2 linked regions of the Neodiprion lecontei genome follow. Each later gene encodes a partner of the first gene's protein in a complex. Links are inferred from orthologs where the notes say so. Each region holds a gene or a part of one and is shown on either strand. Other genes may lie near its edges.

Region 1 (3,938 bases):
TAATATAAGAGTATGTGGAATTTTTGGTACAGGGTTCTCAAGATGTGCGTGCTTCCGCCACAGCCAAGGCGACTGTGGCTGCTTTTGCGGCAAGTGAAGGACATGCCCATCCGCGAGTTGTTGAATTACCGAAAACAGAGGAGGGTCTTGGATTCAATGTGATGGGAGGAAAAGAGCAAAATTCACCTGTATATATATCTCGAATTATTCCAGGAGGTGTGGCCGACAGACATGGTGGTTTGAAACGTGGTGACCAGTTACTGTCTGTTAATGGCGTGGTACGTAATGTGAAATTTTTACATTGATGAAATATTAAGATTTAATCATACTCGAACGTTGCCATTCAAGAATTTATACGATGATACAGGATAGTGTAAATATTGTATTTTTCTCATTTCCTCTAGTGTATTGAAGGCGAAAATCATGAGACAGCTGTGGAATCGCTGAAACAAGCCCAAAACTCGGTGAAGTTAGTTGTTCGCTATACTCCTCGTCTTTTGGAGGAAATGGAATTGCGGTTTGATAAACATGCGCACCAAACTGCACGTAGGCGTCAACGTGTGCAGTAGACTGCAATGATTATTTTTATCACTACATATATATAGAATTTATGAATAACTGATATAGATACAATGTAATGTTACTTATATTAATTATTATAGTTTTAAGCGACAAATTAATATCTGGCTTAATTATCTTGTAATTCATCACCTAGAAATAACTTCTGTATGACCATCTCTCGTAAGAACATTATCAGTATTCATTAATGAACCGTTTAAAACCGATCCACAATATAATTAAACCCAATCATAAGTGTACGGGCAAATCCTCTAAACTTTAATTTCTTTTTAAACATATAAGTTTGAAGGAAATTCCAAGAGTGGACTCGTCTTGAAAAACCAAGCACTTTGTAATTGTCTTAAGCAATATTACACGCATCATTACTAAGCTTTCATAATTTCCCATAGTATCCAAATCTCAGAAGTGACATTCAAGCAACGAAAAAATTCATCCGTTTATCCTCAGTCATTGATTCTACGATGTCCTACATGTCTTGTTTGGCTTCCCTAGGGTTCGATTAGTCTGAACAGGGTCCATTGAATTAATTCTCGGATATAAAAATATTATGCTTCTAAACACGCGAAAAGATCTTAACTCTGATATACGTCGATGTAATTTTGCGAGTGGAATCGATTGCACGCGTCTAGGGTCGCTGCGAACAACGTATATTAGCGCTGCACGAAGCGCACGTGTTCAATATAGGTATAGGTCCATCTAGATAGAATTTAGTGGTCGTCAGCTGTGACAATCCGTATCACACCTAATTGTGGGGCGAGGTTATGTATGCGTGTATGTACGTACAATACATACGACACAGCCAACGCGAGCGACGGAGAGCCTGTAAAAATAGTGAAAATTTATTTGAAATATCCAATGAATTACACGAACTGTTGGAAAATTAACCCTTGCATCAAACGATGGCGCGAAAACAAGCCTTATCTCCGGATGTTGAAACATTGTTTTGGTACAGAAGCCAAGTCTCGAGCTGAAACAAAGTAACAACAAGCAAGATTTATAAAATTATTTAAATTCTTTCTACTTAACTGGGGGACATGCGTGTCATTTTTGAAACTTACTTTAAAGTGGTACAAAATCGATTTCATAAGGATTAACAAATACCTCCATAAAAGTGTAGTATCCATGTGAAAAAAAATCAATTTTCTATGGTGTCAATGAACACATCAGGAACGTTTTGAAAAATTTCCATTAGCTCGTTTCGAAATACTCCTTGATGCCAATAAATGTTTTAGGAAAAAATGGCGCAGTGTCGTTGGACTCGAAATTCACGCCCAAATTCAATCGAATTCAAAGTTATTTTCTGGTTCAAGCACCATGTATGGTTCCCCGATAAACAGTAACGTTTCATTCTTTGATTGTGCTACACCGGGAACACTACCTGTAAGGATAATCACTGATGAGTAAAGTTTCGTACTGCATCTGCTTTTTGCAGGTGAATTGCTTTATGAATTTGATATTATGATTTTTAGGTACTGAATAAAAGATGCGTCGAAGCAGGAATACTAACTGCTCTGGCGCTATCCTGCAAAGTAAACGAAGTATCATTGTTTGATAGAAAACATTATTTCTATGCAGATTTGCCAGTAAGTTGACTAGAAAGTAATTCAAATTTTGAACTTTATAAAACCCACTGTTTGAATATGGCGAACTTCATTTTTAAATTTGATGCAATTACTGTATGAGCTGTGGTTGGGCATATTGTCACGACGAGTTAATCTTCTAGACAGGTAGTATTAAATTGCTTGAGGCTAAATGATACATATTTACAGGCAGGATATCAAATAACTCAGCAACGTCAAGCCTTGGCTATAGATGGAGAACTCAATTTCCAAGTATATACACCGGGTATTCATCCACGACCCTACAGCAAAGTTTCTAAAATCAAGCAGCTGCAACTGGAACAAGATAGTGGCAAAAGCTTACACGATTTAATAGCAAAAAGGTGCTGTCAGAGATTCAATACCTATTTGCTGTAACTGTTGCTACAATTAAATTACTCTTAATTATTGTGGATATTTTGTTCGCTGGTAGACCTGTTGCTGAAGTAAAACAATCACTGACTTATATAAATATTCTCGTAATGCGTTCGGATTGTACATCATTTTAATATAGGTAAAACAAACCTCCTAACTCATCTATACAAATTTGGAGAAAAATTGTTTCCTGCTTATGCCAAAAGTATTGTCAAGTATTAATTATGTATGTCTTCACCGATTTATCTGCAATTTTCGCTTTCTCACTATACCATGTACGAAGAGTTTGGAAACCAAGTGCTAGCCATTATTATATATTGATTCCATTTCGTGAAGCGCACGAGTTTAAGCTGTTTCAGATCAATCTGTGTCTTACACAAAGCACTGCAGAGTACATTTCTAATTTTCATGTGTGTGAAATTTCTGTAAAAATTCTAAAAATCTATACCTACGTGAAGTCTTGAATGTCCTTGTTATATTTGCCCTGGCTTAAACAAAACTTGAGAACTCAAAATCGTTACCTTCTGAAGTTTAGCTTTAATTTCGATTATGCCTTACACTTTTGGGTCAAATACTTAAATTCTTTACTTTGTCTCAGACCATTATCAACTTGAAAGATATTAACAGACACTTACGGATTGAATTTTTATTTTATGATCAACAATAACAGAAGTTTGGTCGATCTTAATCGAGCAGGGATACCACTGATGGAATTGGTATTCGAGCCGGACTTATCAGATGGCGAAGAGGCTGCTGCGCTAGTCAAAGAGATCGTACTCATTCTGAAAAGATTGGGGACGTGCTCCTGTAAAATGGAAGGTAAAGTGGTATGAAAAAAAAGATTAACAACAAAGAAGTATGGCCATTACGCATAATGATCTGAATTCAGAGGGCGCCCTTCGAGTTGACGCCAATATCTCTGTGAATCGACCAGGGGAAAAATTGGGCACGCGAACAGAAGTCAAGAACATTGGAAGTATTAGGTCAGTGGCAGCTGCTGTAAAGTTTGAAATTGACAGACAGATTACAGAAATTGAGAATGGTGGTACAATTATTAATGAAACAAGGTCATGGGACACGGAAATTCGCAAAACAGTTCCAATGCGAGATAAAGAAGAAAAGCAGGTATAGAATGCATACTTTGAAAATATGGTATTTCTGTAAGAGTGTGTTGCGCAATTCTATTATAGCGGTTGACAATCTTGTCACATTTAAGTGACATGGCGATTCCGTTTTTTACTGAGAAGTCTTTCAACTTTTTACAAAATCTTCGTTTACTGTTGCAAACAGACTGTCAGAATTCCATTCATATGTGACGCTATTGTTAATAAGCTACTTTCAAAGACCTTTATACATTACGAATTGTAAACACAGCTCCTGGTTTGT
Region 2 (2,724 bases), on another chromosome or scaffold:
TATGAGTATATCTTGTTTATCATAGTCGACTAAATTTCAGACATTCGAAAACGTGCGAAGTAATGATTTTTCGTAAACATGCATCATTACAGTAACGTTACTAACTTCATCTTCATAGCAATAAATATATTAGATTCAGATATTATAGTTAAGATTTAAGAATTTACATCGTACCTGCAAATAACATTCCACTTTGCCAAATGATACAACTTCAACACTTAAATCTTGAGATGGCAAATGAGCTTGAATACTCATAACTTCACGATTTTCATTTTTTTCAGAATTTGTCGTTACAAATCGGGATGGATTATTGCTGAACTTGCGCCACCAAGCCTTGCGCTCTCTCTGTTTCCTGTAGAATAAATCTTTGGCCGAAGTTTTCTCACCGAACGTCATTACACTCATTCTTGTGCATAAAGGAGGCAGCGGAAGGTCAAGCATTTTGCTTTGTCTTTGGTCATTTTCAGTTGTTTCTATTGATGCTAGACCGAACGGTAGTCCGTCACATCTCGAGTCCCTGAGATATCGTAGGGTTCTCGAGACTTGAGAAATCTGAGTTGGATAAACGTTGTATTTTTCTGATACAACACAATATTTCCACCAAACGTCTTCGACATTTCGTAGAAGGAATCGTCCAGAAGGGCCATAAATAAATTCTGTTTCCGAAACGGTCAGAAAGTCTGTGCCTAGCAGAGACAATATTTTATTGGCTTTCATCACGCTGCTTCAGTTTGCATATAGAATTTACAGTAGCTAGTATTTGTTGGTAGTGAGATTAACGGGAACGTTGCCCGGTGGAGCTATAAAGTAATCTTCCTCTGTTAAAGCGGCGTTCTTCAACACCTTTTTGGTGTAACCACCATCGAAAACTTGATCGTCTCTAAGTTTAAGTTTTTGATTTTCGAGCACGGTATACATTGGCTGGATGTCGGCGTTGAGTTCTACCAACCACAGTTGCTTAGCAAAAGTAATTGCGGATTCTAGTCTGGCGATACCTTCCGCGCTGCCGAAGTTTACCAAAGATAACCTTTCCAGTTGTTCGATGGACTTATTGTCTACAACCAAAGTGAAGTTGTCGGTATCGTGTGATGATTTAGTTGTAAACTGCCGCAGGTGGAATCTATTCCATCCATTGTAAGTAACACGTCCAAATCTGATCATTAGTGCTTTGAAAATCTAGCAATGACGTGCGTTAGAACTACTGAAATAGAGATATACTGAACCGCTTACTCTCGCTGTTGGGGTAGTATATTCGCTCGCAGAGAGAGATCGCTCAACAGAGGATCCTTGTCTTTTTCTGTACAGTCCCAACCAGAAAGTTGTCCTCGTAATCAAAACGCATACTTGTACACGTGAAATGCGTGAGGATAGTGTTGGGTAAGTCCGTGGTTTTAGGTGTACAGGAACGATGGCTAATAGTTTACAATAGTGCGAATGACTGAATACATTGTACACCGCTTGAAATATTGTGACATTCACATGCCATATGCATTAATGCCGCTGATAGCCAGGTCATGCGTTTTGTTTACAAGGATAACATTCTGGTTGGGACTGTACAGAAAAGGACAAATATTCCCTGTTGAGCTGTCTCTCTCTGCGACCCCCTGTGACGTCGGAACAGTACCTAGTGGAAATCTCCAGATGTTAGACACCGGAAACATTCACACGCAGCTACAGCTAGACTCACATCAGTAGTTTGGGTCACCAATTACCGATTAAGTATTGAAATACACCGGACAACGGGCATTCTGTCGCTCTAGTCGAACGAACAGAAGAGGGAGAAATTGTTGGATAAAAGATTTAATTTGGCTTACCTTTTTGAGAGTATTCTGGATGCGATGGCTTGTAGATTGGTGAGAGGTTTTAGCGGAATAACTGACTTTAATATTTGGATATTTTGACTAACTTGGTTTATTTTATAAGTTTGATATTTAAAAGTCACAAACGCAGAGTTACACAGTGTAAGATCTTAAACTTAGTATGACAAAATGGAGTTGAAGCTCGCTGAACTTTTGGGCAGAGTAACGTTGTATGAAAGTTTTAATGCAAAAGGCTAAAGGATTTTACCGCGAGACTGCACCGGAACAAGATCACGAATCTGGAGGTAGAAACCGAGAGGACGATCGAGTGATCGGTCGCCGTTTTTATAGGGGGCGATCGTTGCGCAGAACGATCCCCCTCTTTAGTTTTTTGGTCACCTTTGCGCACCTCCCTCCTTTTCCTAGGAACTAATTAGGGCACGACATCCTCGTGCATGCACCCCTGTTATCTTAGTCCATTAGCTATTACTATATTGTAGGTTTTTACGTATGGTATAATATATTATGGAGTCTTGTATGGTATAACGCTGCTCGGTGCGGTGGTGTAGGTGCGTGGGCTTTGTTCCGTAGTTCTCCGAACTGGGTGAGCTTTTCGTTGAGGCGCCAGCCCCCTTTCTGGACCCCCTCAGCCACTTAACTTCTTCCTGTCTACCTCTTAATGTTTTTGCTATCTTGCTCGTTACAAAGCCCATATTTCATTTTGGTTACCTGTCGTTTGTTAGTTTTATGGCTGTTTCTATATAGAGTTACATATGTATTATAGTCGACTACTGTCGTTATTAACCTGGAGTACAATGGCGATTGTTTATAAAACATAGTTTGTTATTTGCTTAAGGGGGGGGGTAAGGTATTAAATTTTTTTTTTTTTCAATTTTTTTTTATTTTTCTAATTGATTGCACAATA

Evidence for each region.
Region 2: glutamyl-tRNA(Gln) amidotransferase subunit B, mitochondrial (region 1) and glutamyl-tRNA(Gln) amidotransferase subunit C, mitochondrial share a complex: the UniProt entries of both Drosophila melanogaster proteins name them as parts of the heterotrimeric GatCAB amidotransferase (AdT) complex. The link is inferred for Neodiprion lecontei from reciprocal best matches to the Drosophila melanogaster genes GatB and GatC.

Annotation. Positions count from the first base shown.
Region 1 is NC_060261.1:6,985,416-6,989,353, forward strand, and holds the start of glutamyl-tRNA(Gln) amidotransferase subunit B, mitochondrial, read left to right. Parts: upstream 1-938; 5' UTR 939-1,344; coding exon 1,345-1,556; intron 1,557-1,811; coding exon 1,812-1,959; intron 1,960-2,048; coding exon 2,049-2,162; intron 2,163-2,348; coding exon 2,349-2,521; intron 2,522-3,222; coding exon 3,223-3,371; intron 3,372-3,441; coding exon 3,442-3,677; intron 3,678-3,938. Other genes in the region: protein lin-7 homolog C, read left to right, coding at 33-278, 405-569. UniProt on the Drosophila melanogaster protein: Allows the formation of correctly charged Gln-tRNA(Gln) through the transamidation of misacylated Glu-tRNA(Gln) in the mitochondria. The reaction takes place in the presence of glutamine and ATP through an activated gamma-phospho-Glu-tRNA(Gln).
Region 2 is NC_060262.1:16,883,773-16,886,496, reverse strand, and holds glutamyl-tRNA(Gln) amidotransferase subunit C, mitochondrial, read right to left. Parts: upstream 1,537-2,724; 5' UTR 1,162-1,536; coding exon 754-1,161; downstream 1-753. Other genes in the region: DNA polymerase subunit gamma-2, mitochondrial, read right to left, coding at 175-717. UniProt on the Drosophila melanogaster protein: Allows the formation of correctly charged Gln-tRNA(Gln) through the transamidation of misacylated Glu-tRNA(Gln) in the mitochondria. The reaction takes place in the presence of glutamine and ATP through an activated gamma-phospho-Glu-tRNA(Gln).